Linked DNA regions of Arabidopsis thaliana. The protein of the gene in region 4 purifies or fractionates together with the protein of the main gene of each other region. This does not show direct contact. Each region holds a gene or a part of one and is shown on either strand. Other genes may lie near its edges.

The links.
Region 1: the proteins of 2-Cys Prx B (region 4) and EMB1241 fractionate together in Arabidopsis thaliana (co-fractionation; one large-scale study listed by BioGRID). This does not show direct contact.
Region 2: the proteins of 2-Cys Prx B (region 4) and HSP81-3 fractionate together in Arabidopsis thaliana (co-fractionation; one large-scale study listed by BioGRID). This does not show direct contact.
Region 3: the proteins of 2-Cys Prx B (region 4) and HSP90.1 fractionate together in Arabidopsis thaliana (co-fractionation; one large-scale study listed by BioGRID). This does not show direct contact.

Annotation. Positions count from the first base shown.
Region 1 is NC_003076.8:5,838,786-5,843,615, forward strand, and holds EMB1241 (Co-chaperone GrpE family protein), read right to left. Parts: upstream 3,074-4,830; 5' UTR 2,855-3,073; coding exon 2,603-2,854; intron 2,041-2,602; coding exon 1,525-2,040; intron 988-1,524; coding exon 775-987; 3' UTR 554-774; downstream 1-553.
Region 2 is NC_003076.8:22,679,517-22,684,799, reverse strand, and holds HSP81-3 (heat shock protein 81-3), read right to left. Parts: upstream 3,563-5,283; 5' UTR 3,391-3,562; coding exon 3,268-3,390; intron 2,965-3,267; coding exon 2,823-2,964; intron 2,724-2,822; coding exon 889-2,723; 3' UTR 548-888; downstream 1-547. Other genes in the region: AT5G56020 (Got1/Sft2-like vescicle transport protein family), read right to left, coding at 1-214; Hsp81.4 (HEAT SHOCK PROTEIN 81.4), read left to right, coding at 4,733-4,855, 5,115-5,256. UniProt on the Arabidopsis thaliana protein: Functions as a holding molecular chaperone (holdase) which stabilizes unfolding protein intermediates and rapidly releases them in an active form once stress has abated.
Region 3 is NC_003076.8:21,350,681-21,355,692, reverse strand, and holds HSP90.1 (heat shock-like protein), read right to left. Parts: upstream 3,137-5,012; coding exon 3,014-3,136; intron 2,699-3,013; coding exon 2,557-2,698; intron 2,472-2,556; coding exon 2,191-2,471; intron 2,103-2,190; coding exon 546-2,102; downstream 1-545. Other genes in the region: MEF1 (mitochondrial RNAediting factor 1), read right to left, coding at 3,552-5,012. UniProt on the Arabidopsis thaliana protein: Functions as a holding molecular chaperone (holdase) which stabilizes unfolding protein intermediates and rapidly releases them in an active form once stress has abated.
Region 4 is NC_003076.8:1,917,301-1,921,943, forward strand, and holds 2-Cys Prx B (2-cysteine peroxiredoxin B), read left to right. Parts: upstream 1-1,779; 5' UTR 1,780-2,079; coding exon 2,080-2,307; intron 2,308-2,707; coding exon 2,708-2,782; intron 2,783-2,899; coding exon 2,900-2,981; intron 2,982-3,070; coding exon 3,071-3,150; intron 3,151-3,324; coding exon 3,325-3,450; intron 3,451-3,569; coding exon 3,570-3,683; coding exon of another isoform or gene 3,684-3,716; exon of another isoform or gene 3,717-3,794; coding exon 3,795-3,911; 3' UTR 3,912-4,125; downstream 4,126-4,643. Other genes in the region: AT5G06280 (uncharacterized protein), read right to left, coding at 1,079-1,549.

The DNA.
Region 1 (4,830 bases), 3.9 Mb from region 4:
ACACGTTTCTCCAAAAATTGAAATCTGATAACCAAAAACCGGAACAGAACCGCAAATCAACATTTGTACTTGTACGTTCACACAAGACATGCATTGTCCTAGGAGACTAAAGATGGACCGGCCGATTACACCTCGTATCCGATCCAAAAATTATGTGATATATTATCATCATTGAGGATAAAATTTACTATTGATTGTTTCACACTTTCACTGTATGACACTATTTATTCTATTACCCGGTTTAATGCATTATGCATGGATCCCAACGTTACTAGAAATATCCAAAAAATAACAAAAGAAAGAAGAAAAAAAAATCCAATCCAAGATACCCAACATACATGGCCCTAACATTTCTTTACACAAAATGGACAACTCCTCTTTAAGATATTTAAGTACCCAAAGAACCCTAACCAAAAGAAGAAAACTTGGACAATAATTTGGACTCGTAGGCCATAGTACTCAAATACAATTTACTGTATTGACTTTCTGTTTGTTCCAAACTTCCAATTATCAACATTTTCTCTGAATCTTCCGAATTTTCTAGCTGTGTATAGAGAGATGAAAAAAAATCAATTATGGCATTCCCTTTCGGATTGAATACTTAAGAATTCATTAAAAATGTCGATCTATATTACTTCTAGACTCTGTAGAAATGATATAACGTATCAATAACAATAACAACAATAATGGTAAAACAGACCTCTCCCTCTTTTATCTCTGTATCTCTCTCACACACACGCACACAAAACTGCTGAGTCTTGATCATCTTCAATTTCAAGATGAAGATGATTCTTCTTCTGCGCTTCCTTGTGCTGTGGCTTCTTCTCCTTCAGCTTCAAGGGGCTTTTCTGGTCCAGGTCCAGCTGATACTTTCACCATTGAAGGACGTAAAAGCCTTTCACCTAGCAAGAAACCTTTCCTGTATTCTTCTAGTACTATACCCTCTTCGTATTCCGCAGAGTCTTCTCTCATTATTGCCTCATGTAGCTTTTTTCACACAACAACGAGAAAAGCAAAAGGATAAAAAAGAGATGTCAGCTGTTAGGGACTTGAAAAGACCAACAAACAAAAGGATATCTACCAACTCATTGTCATTTAAACCCAACTTGCAAAAGTAACAACCACATCTTACATCTAAAGTCTCCAAAACTTTAGCAGATTCATGCTTAGGACTAGACGCATAAGTGGTTATGTATTTCAAGCTTTGCGATAACCAAAAGGCATCTAACTGAGATAAGTGATCCTAAACCTCAAAGATTTATTGATCATTTGCATCACAAAAGTATCATTCAGCATAATTTGTTCCATCCATCTGATGTAGCTAACTTTCAAAGTAACAACCATATCTACGTTCTGCTCAAGATTATTCCGGCAGCCCTATAGCAACGAATTATCCTAACTTCCAAAACAACTTTGATTTTAAAGATCACGTCCATAGTTAAAAATTAAAACCACCAGCAAGCTGAGCAACAAAAATACAGTTGTCGATCTCCGGAAAGAAGAAAAGATATCATAGTAACTAACCATTGGATCAAACTGCTTGCCGACTGTCTCCACATGGATAACACCAAGTGATCCCAGAATTTCTACAAACTGTTTGTATATGCTCTGATAGCTATTAGTGACTTTCTCTTCTCCCTCAGTCTCCACCTTAATTTGGGATTTAGCTCTCTCGAAATTATCCAAAACAGCCAAAAGATTCTCTACAACCTCTCCTTGAGCATTTGAAACAAGGTTTAGCCTTTCCCTCTCAGTCCTCTTCCTGAAGTTGTCGAAATCTGCACTGATTCTTATAAGCCGATCCCTCTCCACCGATAACTCATTGGATAAAGACGCTACTTTATCCGCAAGCAGAAATTTTTCATCTTCTATGGACTTTAAAGATGCTTCTATCTCAGCAATCTTCCCCTCGTTGTTGTCTGCTAAAGCTTCTTTATAGGATTTCAGCAACGCTGTGATAACAGCTGCTTCTTCTTCCTCAGCTTCACCCTCCTCAGCACTGGCATTTTCATTCTCGACATCAACAGCACCATCCGTCTCCTGCTCCATGATTTCAGAAGTGAAACAAAAAATCAGAAAAAGAGCAATCCAGTTTACATAGACGTTTCCTATCTATTCCTGATAAAAGCTGAGACAGAACACACACTAACGACACAATTTTTTAATGACCTCCTAAACAATCAGATTAACACCAAAAAAGCTTCAGAACATTCTGTGGCCCCCATACAAGAATCACGAAATCAAAATTCGATTTGGATAGTACATACACACCATGGTCTTAAACTACTAGTGAAACTCCTTCATTTTGGGAACACACCATACCACAAGAATATGAAATCTGTCATTCATCGGATTTGGTATATCCTAAGAAACATTAGCATTCACCATTTGACTCCTGAATAGACTGAATACAATCCTATTCATTGCTCTAATTCATGTGAACGTTCCTTCAGAGGGTAATATAATCAATAAAGCTTAAAAATTTAAGCAAACAACAAGCAATTCTAAATTACCATATCCCAAATTCGAAACCCTAATCACCGAACTAACAATGAAATAACCCCCAAGAAAGTTGAACAGAAGTGAGCCGAAATCGAAAAACCTGAACTTCGGGTTCGTTCGATTCCACCTCCGTCTCCGTCGTCTCAGCTTCTCCCGAAGCAAAGGGTACGAGGTTTAGTAAGCGGAGAGGATAGCCGCTAGAGACAGACCGGAGAGAAGCTCGGCGAGAGAGTGAGACGCTAACGTTTCTTCCTCCGGCGAAAGATACGCAAAAGGGCTTAAAGGGTACAGAAGGAGCATGAAGAAGAGTTGGTGTGAGATGTAAAGACGGCGTTTTGAGTAGACCGGCCATCGAAGAGTTCGGAGAAAGAGAAGGAGAGTGGCGGAGAGAGATAAGGAAGATAGAGAGAGAGAGGGCAAACGGTTCTACTCTTCCTCGTCGGATCTTTTGTTTTGTTTCGTTTTTTTAACCGTTGGATTTACTTTTCGTTTTTACTATGTTGATCGGACCGTTGTTGTTCAACAGAGATTACGTAGGGAGTTTTTCAACCGTCGGATTTAGATTTTCTTGAAACTTCTACAGTTTTGTGAATATTTTATATAATACAATAAAATCTCTGTAAATTAATACTCGAGAAGGCTGTTCGATGTTCTATGCCAATGATCTAACTGATTCCTGGTATGATGTCTCCAAACTCTTTGTAAGTTGTCTTCCACTCTTATGGTTCAACTCTTTTTCCAAGTCCACTTCATCACGAATCTCTTCATCTTCTCTAGCGATGACTACACTTTTCTTCAAGTGGGAGCAAATTTATCCAGGAACTGTTGTTCTGACATAAGAATATTTGAATGATTTGTAGTTGTATCAATTTCGCCTTGCCTTTCTTTTGGATCTGAATGTTTCAAACATTTTCGACAATAAAATATGTTTTTACCAATTTGTATCAGTTTTGTTATTGCAGATTCAAATTGTATCATGATCTCATGCATATCGTTGTTGAAAATAACATAATAAGACTTGAGATTTGGGAAATTTTTAGAAGCAATTTTGTGTTATTGACTATAACTAGTTCTACAATTTGGGCTTAGGCTTTATTTACAAAAGGGTTTCCTTAAGCCCAAAGAGATGTACTATATAGTTAAATGTTTGTTTTGGTCAAGTACTAGTACTCAATATGTTATAGATGAAAAGTAATAAGAGAATATCAGGGTTTGCCGGTTTGGGTTGACAACAAAGAGATAGGAGACCATCCATGTTTAATCTATTTTCTAAGTCCGCACACTTAGTTTTGTCAGAAGTAGTGGGTGCAACGGACCTTAATCCTAAATCAGAAGTATTAACTACAAAGTGACTAAAGTTTTAAACTAATTATTAAATATCACCCGTTGTTGAGGCTAACATATCATAAAAGATATTCTTCTTCGACCATTTTACTTTTTCATTTTCCAATTTCTCAATATATTATTTTAGTTAAAATTTTGTAAGTAGATGTTTATCAAAAATTCTCAAGTAAATATCTAGCATATGTTTGGAGGTGACAATCCATATAAGCTTTTAAAATTGAATATCAAATAGTTTAGTTCAAATGTTTAGAATTGGAAGCTAAATAAAGGAAGAATTTCAAAAGCATCTTTTCGAATACCACTTTTCAAAAATATTATATTTCTAATTGTTTATTAAAAGTACTCCTAAGAATATGAGGTTTATTCAAATATGTGTGTAACTTTATTAAAGTATACAAACTACTTTTATATGTGTGTAAAAACTTATAAATATTTTATAAATACAGTATAAAAATAACTTATAAATACCTTGTAAAACAATACCTTGTAAAACATTTTTAAATACCTTCTAAAATCTTATTAAACCATATAAAATACTTTATAAAACATTAGATCGAATCTCCAATTAGTAGTTTACACCAAAAACTTTATGAACTTTTGAGATTTAATGAAGAGTATTTTCTAAAAATAAACACCTAAAAAGTTTCCAATGGTGATTAACAAATTGAACTAGCTGAATAAAATGAGTACTGATAAGTTGAATAAAGATAAGCTGAATAATAAAAAAGAGTTGGATAAACTAGATGAGATGAATAAGTTAGAGAAAAATAAAAGGTAACCTCTATATGTTTTCAACAGCTAAACATATTTCAATATTAATTAGAAACAGCTAAACAACAGGTTGTATTTTATTATATTAATTCTAACGCATGCAACGCATGGGTCTTCCACCTGGGTATATCATATAGATTATGAGTCTGTATCAAATTGGTCATCACGTCGATTGAGAAAAATAAAAATAAAGTCTCTAATCATTTAGTTTCC
Region 2 (5,283 bases), about 21 Mb from region 4:
TAAAGGTGCCGGAAACAGTGTCGTTGGCAGATCTAACGGCGGATTCGATATCGAAGCCTAAAGTTCCGGTGTCTTCTTCAAAATCTCTCGATGCTGCGTAAGAATTCCAATCAGCTAGCAGAGACGTTCCTCCTGTTTGCAGCGGTTGCTGCTGCTGATCTCCGCTGCTACTAGTGCCGCTCATCGGAAACCATCCTTTGGCCATTTTCTCCATTTCGTTGGGAATTTTTGGAGCTGAGAAATCAAAATATAGCTGAATACCGACGATCAGTGGTTTACGTCGGAGCTAAGGAAATCGGCAGACGTCAAATCGAGCGTTGATGAAGATTCTGTCAAGGGACCGTCGTCTTAAACGGCAGTGTTATTTTGCGTTGCACTACTCATATTCTAATCGTAAAAGTTATTTAAAAAAATAATAATAACCTTTAAAACTGACCAAAAAATTGTTACACAAATTATCCTTTTTAATCAAAGTAGTAACAACATTTGTGCAGAAAATTAACGCTAAGTCAAACAGTAACAACAGTATTATGTCGAACAATAAATTATTTATTATTGTAAAGAATATGTAAGCTGTGTTGTCTGAGATGCTTAACAATATGATTTGGAGCTGCTTCATGTATTTTATTAGCCATATTAGTCATACTAATAACTTAGTTATAGGCTACATAACCAAAATAAGCTTGGATTTGCAAGATTGTGCATAAGAGAACCTTTGTCATCAAACCGAATTCAGAGAAAAAATCTTCACGAAAACAAGCGATAGAAGAAATAAACTCCAGAAAATAGTTCCAAAATATTAGTTCAAACGAAAACATAAAAAAAAAAGATAAAAAGATAACCAATGTCTCAACACCCCTAATGATTAAGTCGACTGTGTGTGATAATTTAGTCAACTTCCTCCATCTTGCTACCTTCAGCATCGGCATCATCTTCAAGTGGAGGCATGTCAGCATCGGCTTCAACAACATCATCGTCATCAATGCTCAATCCAAGCTTCAACATCCTGTGAATCCTGCTCCCGAAAGTGTTGGGCTCATCGAGGCTGAAACCAGAAGTGAGAAGAGCGGTCTCAAAGAGAAGAAGTACAAGGTCCTTCACAGACTTGTCGTTCTTGTCTGCATCAGCTCTCTTTCTCAGCTCATCCATGATGGAGTTCTCTGGGTTAATCTCCATTGTCTTCTTGCTCGACATGTAGCCACCCATGCTGCTGTCTCTCAAGGCTTGAGCTTTCATGATCCTCTCCATGTTTGCAGTCCAGCCATACTCGCCTGTTACAAGACAGCAGGGTGAGTCCACAACACGGTCAGAGACGATAACCTTCTCAACCTTGTCTCCCAAAACGTCCTTGATCACTTTGCAGAGTCCCTCAAACTTCTCCTTGAGCTCTTCTTTCTTCTTCTTCTCGTCTTCAGTCTCATCCAGTTTCAGACCTTCCTTGGTTGCAGAGACAAGCTTCTTTCCTTCGAATTCCTTGAGCTGACCAATAGCATACTCATCGATAGCGTCAACCATGTAGAGAACTTCAATACCCTTCTTCTTGAGCTTCTCAAGGAATGGAGAGTTCTCAACAGCCTTCTTGCTCTCACCAGTGATATAGAAGATATCGTTCTGACCTTCCTTCATCCTTGTCACGTAGTCCTTGAGACTGGTCAATTCATCACCGCTCTTGGTTGAGTGGTAACGGAGCAACTCAGCAATCTTGGTTCTGTTTTGGGAGTCCTCATGGATACCGAGCTTCAGGTTCTTAGAGAAAGCCTCATAGAACTTGTTGTAGTCCTCCTTGTTCTCAGCAATCTCAAAGAAGAGCTCAAGACACTTCTTCACAAGGTTCTTGCGGATGACCTTGAGGATCTTGTTCTGCTGCAATGTTTCTCTTGAGATGTTGAGAGGAAGATCTTCAGAGTCAACAATACCCTTGACAAACCCAAGGTACTCAGGAATGATGTCTTCACAGTTGTCCATGATGAAGACACGACGGACATAGAGCTTGATGTTGTTGGGCTTCTTCTTAGTGTCAAAGAGATCAAAAGGAGCTCTCTTGGGAACAAAGAGGATAGCTTTGAACTCAAGCTGTCCTTCAACTGAGAAATGCTTCACAGCCAAATGCTCTTCCCAGTCATTGCTCAAACTCTTGTAGAAAGCAGCGTACTCCTCCTTGTTGATCTCCTCTGGCTTCCTCATCCAAATCGGTTTCTGCTTGTTCACCAAATCCCACTCATGAGAAACCTCCTTAATCTTCTTCTTTTTCTTCTCCTCCTTTTCTTTCTCCTCATCAACTTCCTCAACCTTGCCTTCCTCATCCTTCTTCTCTTCCTCCTCTTCATCATCAGAGATCTCCTTCTCAATGGTCTTCTCAATCCAGAGAGAGATTGGGTAGCTGATGAACTCAGAGTGCTTCTTCACCAAATCCTTAAGCCTTCGCTCCTCAATGTACTCCATCTGGTCTTCCTTGAGGTAAAGGACCATCTTAGTTCCTCTACCAAGAGCCTCACCAGAGGTGTCTCTGGTGACGGTGAAAGATCCACCGGCCTGAGACTCCCACACGTACTGCTCATCGTCATTGTGCTTGGTAGTAACAACAACCTTGTCAGCAACCAAGTAAGCAGAGTAGAAACCAACACCAAACTGTCCAATCATGCTAACATCAGCTCCAGCAGCCAACGCCTCCATGAATTCTTTGGTTCCAGATCTTGCAATTGTTCCAAGGTTGTTCACCAGATCTGAAAAATAAAACAAAAACGTATTAGCCAACACACCAAACACATAAATAATCAACGAAAACCAATACAAATTGCTTTTGACTGAAATCAATTACGTACCAGCCTTGGTCATCCCAATACCACTATCGATAATCGTCAAGGTGTTGTTAGTCTTGTCGGGAATGATGTGAATGAAGAGCTCTGGCTGACCATCGAGCTTGCTCTTGTCTGTCAAGGACTCAAACCTAATCTTGTCCAAAGCCTGTTTTCACCAGAGTAAAATCACAATCGTAAGTAACCAACCAATACACAGAACGTATATACAAATTACATATAAGCAAACTTTGTAAATCTAACAAGAGTCTGCTTAATCGTTGGTATCAACACTAAAACTAATCAACAGATTTGAACACAAACAGCTTCGCAACTTCAATTACCAACCAAAATTCTAAAATCGGCTAGAACACTAAACCCTAATCAATCCTAAATCTACAGATCGAACAGCCAGATCAATCAAACGAGACAGACAAGTATAAAATAAGGTGTAGAGAGATAGAGATCGTACATCAGAAGAGTTACTGATGAGTTCACGAAGGAAGATCTCCTTGTTAGAGTAAAAGGTATTGATGATGAGGGAGAGCAACTGGTTGATCTCAGCTTGGAAAGCAAAGGTTTCTGCGTCCGCCATTCTCGTTGATCGGAAAAAAAATCTAAGAGCTAGGGTTTATGAATCAAATCGAGAGATAAAGAGAGCAAAATTTTCTTTAGAGAGCAGAGAAGTGTTGATTGATACGAGACTTTGGGGAAGGATGTTATTATATATAGTGGTGTGGGGACTGGGAACCTATAAGGGTTTCTAGATCCTTCCTATTTGATTTATGTTAATTTGCTTTTCAGGTCCACATAATCTGCAATATAATTAAATGGAAATTACAAAATACAAAACTATTTTTTGGTAGAAAAATACAAAACTTTATTAAATTTTTTAAAATTTTATTCCCTTTTATTTTATTTTGGAGAACAGGTGTAATTTACTACTTTTTGTAACAGGTTTTAGTTTACTTCTTTTTTTTTTTGGTTAAATTTTGTAATTTACTATTTTATTTTATTGGTTGATGATAATTTACTATTTATAAAAAACAGTCAGATTTAATTCTACTCCCTTTTTATTTTGCAGAACAGGTGTAATTTACTACTTTTTTGTAACAGGTTTTAGTTTCCTTTTTTGTTAATTTTGTAATTTACTATTTTATTTTATTGATGATAATTTACTATTTTAAAAACAAAGCAATAATTTTATTTTTTGCTTACAACTTTTTTTTTCCTGTTTACAGATTGGTATGTGTATCTTTTAATAAAGTTTCAAAAAAATCAATAATTAAATAATAATATTGAAAGTTGTAAAATAAATAAATTAAAACAATAACAAAAAGAAACACATATTCTCTAAAAAGCGTGGGGTTTGTGGGGAGAAAAAATTGATTTTTTTTTTTTAACTTCAGAATTGATTAAAACTTTTTTTTTTTTTTTAACACAACTATTTATCTTGTTGTTATAAATTAAATACATAACTAAAATTTGAAATAAAATTTTGAGATATCTTGAAACTAAGGGATTAACTTTATCGATTTCAAAAAATAACCCAAAACTAGGACCGATCTAAAAAAATCTAAACATAGATAAACTAGAATGAATGGGAACTTGTAAATTCAAATCCATAACAAAATCGAATTTTGTATATGGAGAAAAACATTGTTTTTATTGATTAGTTTAGCTAATAGAAAAATTTAACAAAAAAAAAAAAAAAAAAAGTAAGTAGCACTTGTTCCAAAAAAAAGGAAAGTAAAATATTATGACAATTTTTATATTTTACAATTTCCATTATATTATGACGTCTGTTTCCACATCCCCTATATATTACACACTTTTCCCCCTTAATCAAACCATCAATACTTCTCTGCTTCTCTTAAGAATTTGCTTTTTGATTCACATAAACCCTAATTCTTAGATTTTTTTCCCGATCAACGATAATGGCGGACGCAGAGACCTTTGCTTTCCAAGCTGAGATCAACCAGTTGCTTTCCCTCATCATCAATACCTTTTACTCCAACAAGGAGATCTTCCTCCGTGAACTCATCAGTAACTCCTCCGATGTACGATCTCTCCCTCTCTGTCTTTCTATGTTTATCTTTAAGCTTAATGTGTTTGTGTATCTCCTTCGATTGATTTGACGGATCTATGTGTAGATTTAGGTTTTATTAGGGTTTAGTGTTCTTTTCGATTTGAGATTTTCGTTTGTTAATTGATGGAACCTTTTCATGTTCAAATTTGTTAGATTACTTAGTTTTTGATTGTATATATGTTGTGTGTATTTTGTTACTTATGATTGAGCTTTTTATTCTGGTGAAACAGGCTTTGGACAAGATTAGGTTCGAGTCCTTGACGGATAAGAGCAAGCTCGATGGTCAGCCTGAGCTTTTCATTCATATCATTCCGGACAAGACTAACAACACCTTGACCATTATCGATAGTGGTATTGGGATGACCAAGGCTGGTACGTAATTGATTTCATTCAAAAGCA
Region 3 (5,012 bases), about 19 Mb from region 4:
ATAATCTCTATCTGAGTTTAGTTTTGTTGTTGAATCAAACATCCGATTTAAAGTTATGTTCATTCCATCTTCTCTCCCCTTTTCGAGCATGCGAGAATATGATTCCCCCTATTGAACAAATCAATCAACCTTTAAGCGATAACAAATTGGTGTTGTGAAAATTATTAACTTCTTGATCTCGTTTTGTCAGATCTAAAATTACTATAGCCAAGCTACCTTTCACGTCAAGTTGTCACTCCTATCTATTCCAGTGATCTTAGGAAGTCTATCTTTTGGAAGTCAAGTTTTACTCTAGGGAACCAAAAGATTTGTTCAGAAACAAGAAAAGTTCCTTAGCTGAATAACAAAAACTTGAATCAGTATTAGACAGACCCACCACACGATATAACAGACCTGACACAAACCCAACCCTAGAAGTAGTCACAATGTTCAAGTAACTCTAAAGATATAAAAAAAAAGACAAAGACATTTTGGAAAATCTTAAAACTCAGAACAACTCGACATATTAGAAGTTTTCAGAACCATAAGAGCAATTTCTTCATCTCTTAGTCGACTTCCTCCATCTTGCTCTCTTCAGCAGCGTCCTCCTCCAACTCAGGCATATCACCATCTTCCTCAACGTTCTCATCCTCATCAATACTCAGACCCAACTTCAACATCCTGTGAATCCTAGCAGCAAAAGTGTTCGGTTCATCAAGACTGAATCCAGACGTCAACAAAGCTGTCTCATACAGCAACATGACAAGATCTTTAACAGACTTGTCATTCTTGTCTGCTTCAGCTCTCTTCCTGAGCTCCTCCATTATACCGTTGTCGGGGTTGATCTCCATTGTTTTCTTGCTCGACATGTAACCACTCATGCTGCTATCTCTCAACGCCTGTGCCTTCATAATCCTCTCCATATTTGCAGTCCATCCATATTCACCAGTTACTAGACAGCAGGGAGAGTCCACAATCCTGTCTGAGACCACAACCTTCTCAACCTTGTCCCCGAGAATTTCCTTAATCGTCTTGCACAGATTCTCGAAGGACTTCTTCTTCTCTTCCCTCTTTTTCTTCTCTTCTTCGGTCTCATCTTCAAGTTTGAGGCCTTCTTTAGTCGCAGAAACAAGTTTCTTACCGTCATACTCCTTCAATTGTCCAACAGCGTATTCGTCAATCGCATCCACCATGTAAAGTACCTCGTATCCTCTCTTCTTCAGCCTCTCCAAGAAGGGAGAATTCTCCACCGCCTTTTTGCTTTCACCAGTGATGTAGAAAATGTCCTTTTGACCTTCCTTCATCCTTGTGACGTAATCTTTGAAGCTCGTCATTTCATCACCACTCTTTGTGGAGTGGTACCGTAGAAGATCAGCAATCTTTCCCCTGTTCTGACTGTCTTCATGGATACCCAATTTGAGATTCTTGGAGAAAGCCTCATAGAATTTGGTGTAGTCCTCTTTGTTCTCAGCAATCTCGTTGAACATCTCAATGCACTTCTTCACTAGATTCTTCCTGATCACCTTAAGGATCTTGTTCTGTTGAAGCGTCTCACGAGAGATGTTGAGTGGCAAGTCATCAGAGTCAACAACACCTTTCACAAAGCTGAGGTACTCTGGGATTAGCTCTTCACAGTTGTCCATAATGAACACCCTCCTGACATAAAGCTTGATGTTGTTCAACTTCTTCCTCGTGTCAAAGAGATCAAACGGAGCTCTCTTTGGTACAAAGAGAATGGCCTTGAATTCTAGCTGACCCTCCACTGAGAAGTGTTTCACGGCTAAGTGATCTTCCCAGTCATTGGTCAAGCTCTTGTAGAAAGCAGCATACTCTTCCTTAGTGATCTCTTCTGGCTTCCTCAACCAGATCGGTTTCTGCTTGTTGATGAGTTCCCACTCGTGAGAGACTTCCTTGATTTTCTTCTTCTTTTTACCATCTTTCTCCTTCTCCTCATCAACTTCTTCAACCTCACCTTCGTTTTCTTTCTTTGGTTCATCTTCATCCTCATCGTCACTGATCTCCTTCTCGGTGGTTTTCTCGGTCCAAAGGTAGATAGGGTAACTGATGAACTCAGAGTGCTTCTTCACCAAGTCTTTGAGTCTCCTCTCCTCCAAGTATTCAAGCTGCATGAATAAACACACTTGTAAGAACACAGAAAACACCAAAAGAAAAGAAACAATCCCCAAAACACTCAAAGCTACGATTCCTTACCTGATCGTCCTTAAGGAAGAGGGTGATCTTAGTTCCTCTACCAAGTGGTTCCCCATCCACATCCCTAGTGACAGTGAAGGAACCACCAGCTTGAGACTCCCAAACGTATTGTTCATCATCATTGTGCTTTGTAGTGACAACAACCTTCTCTGCAACAAGATAAGCAGAGTAGAAACCAACACCAAATTGTCCTATCATGCTTACATCAGCTCCAGCTTGAAGCGCCTCCATAAACTCTTTTGTTCCAGACCTCGCAATGGTTCCCAAGTTGTTCACCAAATCTGAAAAAATAATAGAGAGTCATAACCACAGCACATACACTAAAACATCTCACCAACGAGAGATTATTAGGCATTGATTCGTTACCTGCTTTGGTCATGCCAATACCACTGTCAATAATTGAGAGCGTCTTATTAGACTTGTCAGGAACCAATCTAATGAAGAGTTCAGGCTGTCCATCGAGCTTGCTCTTATCCGTTAAGCTCTCAAATCGGATCTTGTCAAGAGCCTACAAAACCATTCATATAAACAAAGATAATCAGAAGCTTTCCTCAATCCTCTAGGGTAAATCAAAGACTACATCGAAGCAAGAACCGTTCTATATATGTAACTACAACACATGAAGATCGAGCACAAGCTAAGAATTCTAAACTTAACGTGATGCACAAGCCAAATCACGATTTATTTGAATAAGCAATCACAACGCTAAACCTACGAATCCAACGCTATCAACGAATCCAGGAATTAAAGAACAAACAACATGCAAGAAAATAGGAAGCGGACGAGTCACACCGAGCAGAGAGAGATTTGAAGGGAAACTTACATCAGAAGAGTTACTGATGAGCTCACGGAGGAAGATTTCTTTGTTGCTGTAGAACGTGTTGATGATCAAGCTAAGAAGCTGGTTAATCTCAGCTTGGAAAGCAAAAGTCTCTGCATCAGCCATCTGAACATCCGCCATCGCAACGAACTTTGATTCAACGCAAACGAGAAACGAAAGAGAATGCTAAGAGAAAATTTGGAACTTCGAGAGCGTTTCGAGAGATTTGTGATTGTTTTGTTGATTTATGAAGAAGAGAGGAAAAAACAAAGTGATTTTATAGAGGAGAAATAAAGTTCTAGTCTCTTCTTTTGAAATAAAGGAAAACCAGTGATTTCTGGATTGTTCTTTGAAAACGACGCCGTATTTCGATGAAATCAACCGTTTTTAGCTTTGTGAGCAAACGAATTCCAGAAAGTTCTTTTCGTTTCGAGACTCCACTTGTTTCAATTCCGAATAGGTCTGGCAAAGAAATTTCGCCGGTTCAGTGTGAACTGAATGAAATTATGGTTAAATATAAACCAACTCTCATTTGTCTTCTTCACCAATAGTCATTACAAGAACACTTGCCATCTTCAAACCGATGAAACCGATTATTATCTCTCACAATGATCACTCGTCTCGTACATACGGACATGAACTTGATCGCGTTATGGCAATCACCGCAAACACGCAGATTCTTCATTACTCGGATCGGTCTATCAGCTGGAAACGTGATCAGTCCAAAAGCAATAGCTAATCTCTCACTATGATACCTTATGGTTTGATTCTTCTCGTCACCATCCACTTCTCTCAGAACATAGCTTGTGTCTGCAATGTAACCCGCTTTCTCCATCTCTTCCCCTAACTCAGCCAGCTTCTCATATATCTCCTTGCTTTTCTCATGACGTCTTTCTCCAGCTGCAAATGTATGAACCTTGTTCCTTTCTTCAACCCAACTTAGCCCTGTTTCCTTCTTTTCCCCTCGGTCTCGAAGCAATTTTCTAGCTTTAGCTGCGTCTTCGAATCTACCATCGGCTGCATAAGCATTGGATAACGAAATGTGCATACCGGAACTCACTGGTCCTAATTCGAAGACCTTGTCTGCTGCAAATGCTGCAAGCTCTGTGTTCTTGTGGACTGTACAACTCGTTAATAAAGCTCCCCATACAGATTCCGTGGGATCAATCGGCATATTAGTGATAACTTCAAGTGCTTCTTGTAATCTACCAGCTCGTCCTAACATATCCACCAAGGAAGCGTAATGCTTATCCGTCGGCTCAATCCTCGATTCTTTCATCTGATCAAAGTAGTATCTCCCTTCATCAACTAGACCCGCGTGACTACAAGCATTGAGCACATTCAAAAAAGTTATGAAATTTGGTTTCATTCCAGAAAGCTTCATCCTTTTGAACAATTCAATAACCTTTTGAGTATGTGAATGTTGCGCATACGCCTTGAGCATAGCGTTCCAAATCCCGAGATTCTTCACAGGCACCTCGTTAAAAACTTGATAAGCTCCTTCAGGAACACCACACTTTGAATACAACGAGACTAAAGAACTTCCCACAAAGCTAGAAGAATCAAAGCTAGACTTAATACTCAATCCATGAATCTGTCTACCTAACTCAAGTAGAGTCGAATTTGCACAAACACTAATAACACTCGAAAACGAGTAATCATTAACAGCGAGATTCTCAAACAAAGCTTCTTTAAACAACCACAAAGCTTCCTCATTTTCACCCATTTGTGCATACCCATACATCATCCCACTCCAAGTAACAACATTTCTCTGAGGCATTTCGTCGAACATCTTCCTCGCATAAACAATTTCTCCACATTTCGCATACATATCAACCAAAGAACTCCCCACAAACACATCAGCATCATACCCAGTCTTCATCGATAGACAATGAACTGATCTACCAATATCACAACGACTCAAAATCGCACACGACTTTGTAGCTGATGGAAGAACATGATCATCAGGTCTAAGGTTTCCCGCCATCATTTTTTTAAGAAA
Region 4 (4,643 bases):
GTTCTTCTTTCTCTTAGATTTTCTGGAAAATTTGCAGATTGCTTGTGGGTTACGCGTACCCTGCATATGGATGCTACAAAAGCGTGGAAAAGAAAAAGCTTGAGATTCACGAACTTAGATACTGGTGCCAATATTGGTAAAGCTTACTAATTGTTAATAAAGAAGATTCCTTTTTTGGATAAGGGTATCTTATTCTCATAACCATCTTATCAAAAATCCGAATTTGATTTGTAGGATCTTGGTGGCTCTTCTTACTGTTTTCGAAAGGATAGGAGACATCATTGTATCATGGTTAGTACTTATATGTCAAACTTCAAATCTCCATCATATGCTTCTTTATTGTATGAAACCTTCTGATTCATCTCATCTATCCGCAGGTTACCACTCTACGGAGAGATCAAAATCGCTCTTCTCATCTACTTATGTTACCCGAAATCACAGGTACTAACTACAGTACAATGCAATAAAAATCTAATGAGAATTCATTCTCATTCTTAGATTCACAAAACGACCAATCTTCTTCTCTTGGTTTCTAACAGGGACTTAGCTATGTCTACGAGAAGCTACTATGTCCATACATGTCAAAACATGAATCTGACATCGATCAAGGAATCTCTGTCTTAAAGATAAGAGGACATTTAGTAATTGCTCAACTACTGCAATGTATCTTCCACTGGAGCCTCCAAATCTTCAAGCAATTGCAACAACAATTCACCATCTATAAGGTATTCAAAACAAACATATACATCCTCAAGCTTTACTGCATCAGAGCACTCTCACCAAATCCATCACTTCCTTTGTCTACAGAATAAAAACCAATCAAAGTCAAAAGATCAACAACAAACAAGAACTTCTTTAATGTTTCTCCGTTAGAAGGTGCCTGCTATACTACTCTAAGCCACAATCTCAATAACCGGGTTTTTAAACCGCCGGTTAACCGGAGTTTCACATGACTTCAAATTGACCACAGACGAACAAAAAAAAAAAGATTTTTCCTTTGATATGTTTTGAATATTGTAACACTTTATTGTATACAATTCAATTCATGAAAAATCCAATTTTCTCACCAAATCAAAGTTTATTTGACAATCAAAGGAACACGAAACGATTGAAAAATCCAATCAAACACACGTCGCAAGAACTGAAACCCGGCGGATAAGTGAAGCCAAACGCGGCGGAAGAATTGAGAACCAGCAGAATCATCTGACGAAGTAAGCACCGTTGGTTGAAGATAAGACAAAGCAGCTTGCTTAACGAGACGGTTACGAATCGAGATATCTCCGGCGGCGGTGGATATAACAGGAGAGCAGCTACCGTTGATCGACGGTAAATTGAGTGAAGAGTTAATCGGAGAAGAGATGATATCTCTGAGAGAAGTGTAAGCTACGAAAGAGGATGGTTTTACGGAGATGAGCTCGTAATCGAACGAAGACGGCGGCGTTGAAGCTATGTCGAAAGGAACTTCTGGAGGAGTTAGAGTCGTCATGTTGGATATGGATTTTGTACGGCGGAGTTGAGTCGCCGGAGATTGTGACGGCGGAATCTCCATAGTCTTTCTTCTTCTTTTTTTTTGTTTGGTTTGTTTGTGAGTTTGTGGCTGATTGGGTTTTGCGAGTGTTTAAAGTAAGGAAGGAGGTCCAATTATTGATCTCTATGATATGTACATTTGTCACTATCTTGTGTTGTATTAATTAGTAAAGAGATACGTTTACTTTATTTGTATTTTCTTAATTATTATGATTGGAATGGAAGATAGTAGGCAAATTACAAAATTTAAGGATTGATTACTATTTTTGATGTGAAGATTAGATGGAAATATATTCGGAAATCCAACCAGCCTAAAAATAGATTTTGATTTAATTATCAAAGTATGATCATCAACACGGTGTCGTTCCGGTTCATCGAACATTCCACTTCTTTCTTCTTGTCTGAAAAATCTAGAAGAGCAGCTATTTGGTTTCTCTATCCGATTCGTCTCTCTCACGCCCTCACGTTTATCCACCTCATCCTCAAACCAAACCACAAGACCTCTTTTTTAAGTAACCAATCACAGAGAGATAGAGAGAGAGAACAGAGTCAATGTCAATGGCGTCTATAGCTTCTTCTTCTTCCACCACCCTACTCTCTTCCTCTAGGGTTCTTCTTCCCTCCAAGTCTTCTCTTTTATCTCCTACCGTCTCTTTCCCCAGAATCATACCCTCTTCCTCGGCATCATCCTCTTCTCTCTGTTCCGGGTTCTCCAGTCTCGGTTCCCTCACCACCAACCGCTCCGCCTCACGCCGGAACTTCGCCGTCAAGGCTCAGGCTGTAAGTTGACTCGCAATGCCATAAATTTCTTGTATTTGCTCCATCTTCTCATTCACTATGATTGTTGTATGAATTCGTTAGCTTGTTATAATGGGATCCGTACTATTTTCCTGCTTCTTATCTCTTAAGGGTTTTGAGATCATTGGATAAAAGACTAAACTTTAAACTTTTTAGAGTTCTGCGATTTGAATTGAGCGACATTTTTGTTACCCTTCTTTCGGGTTTAATTAGGGATGGGAGGAAATGATCTGAAATTAATTAATATGATTCACATTTGGCTCATACACAGAAATCTTTTGAGCCCTGCATAGATAGTGAACACCAGTTAAAGAACATTTTGTGTGGTTAAACAATTCGATGATCGATGACTGACTAGTGTTTATATGTTTTATGAATGCAGGATGATTTACCACTGGTCGGTAATAAGGCGCCTGATTTTGAAGCTGAGGCAGTTTTTGATCAAGAGTTCATAAAGGTACTTTCATTCCATTCAAACCTTATTTAACATGTTAGTTAGTTAAGTGTCATAAGCTAAGGTCAATGCAGTAGAGCAATGTTCTGATAGTAATCGACCTATGAATCATGGTTTCAGGTGAAGCTCTCTGAGTACATTGGCAAAAAGTATGTTATTCTATTCTTCTACCCTTTGGACTTCACTTTTGTCTGCCCCACTGGTTAGTATTCTGCTAAGGAAATAGCTTCAAAACTGAAACTCTCGCCCTCATAGTCACTGAAATTTCCAATTTTTCTTTGCTTATTCTAGAGATTACTGCCTTCAGTGACCGTTATGAAGAATTTGAGAAGCTAAACACCGAAGTATTAGGGGTCTCTGTCGACAGTGTGGTAAGTCAAATTTTTATTTCTCCACCTGAACCAAGAAAGAACATTCTGGTCTCAGCATTTTGAAAAATGGTTTCAAGTATTTGATGTACTCAGAACCTTGGCAAGTGGCAGTCTGATAATCGAATGGAACGTTTTCTTTTGGATAATGGAACGTTTGATTCCATGTTCATGTAGTTCTCGCATCTTGCGTGGGTCCAAACAGACAGAAAGTCGGGAGGGCTCGGTGATCTGAATTATCCTCTTGTTTCGGATATCACTAAATCCATTTCAAAATCGTTTGGAGTGCTCATCCCTGATCAGGTAAACGATTTCTTCTGACATAGTTGCATCATACTTGCATTGAGTCCAATCCACTTGTGTTCTTTCAAGTAACGTATAGCCACTTTGAATCAAAGCATTTTGCTAATATATAAGTACAGGGCATTGCACTGAGAGGGCTTTTCATCATAGACAAGGAAGGAGTCATTCAGCATTCCACCATCAACAACCTCGGTATTGGCCGAAGTGTTGATGAGACAATGAGAACCCTCCAGGTAATAAAGAGAAAAATCACATCATTGAGATAGATAGATAAAGAGAGATTTGTTTTTGAGGTTTAGGGTTTAGATGCGTTATTTGTTGCTTCTTGTGATGTTGTCTTGCAGGCATTACAGTATGTTCAAGAAAACCCGGATGAAGTGTGCCCTGCGGGATGGAAGCCAGGGGAGAAATCAATGAAACCTGACCCCAAGCTCAGCAAAGAATACTTTTCAGCTATCTAGAGGCTAAGATTGAACACATGTTTGGTGAAAATTAGCAATCAGAGTTGTTTTATTCGTCTTTTCAAAGTTGGAGCAGAGTTGTTATTTTTAGCCAAAGAACCTTTGTATCTATCTCATCTTTCTCCTGTTTCTGCTATGTGATTCTCCTTAAATTGAATCAAAAATAAAGAAATCCTTCTTTTCTTTTGCCAATATTTATGTCTTTCACTTGTGTAAATAGTTTATAATAATGCAAAGAGGCAGAGTATTTTGACCATTGCAAAAAATAAATTAGAAAAATATCATGTGAGGTCACAGCTCCCTGGAATTAGATAACTATCTGATTGATTTGTTTAATAAACTTGAGTGCTCATTAAGCTAATCTCCATCTGTAGCCGACAACAAAATTATGTTGTGGTATTACTCGGAATATTCTCCACTCGGATTAATTAAAAAATATCGTACATGATAATTTTCTGGTTAAATAAAAATCTGATACCTTTGACACGAGAAAAAAGTTAAAAACTAGAAGTTATGGATAAAATCAGAAAATAACCAAAAGAAAAGGATCGTTTTGTCATTTCTTGAAAATAGCCCTATCCTTTTTTTCCATTAAACCAAAATGTACAAAGACAAGTGGGGAGTGATAGGGTTTGGTATATACGCGGTTAGCAGTTACCCACATGGTTTATCCACTTCACACATTTAAACCACCCCTACAAAATAATGTTTATCAAAACGACCCCAATACTT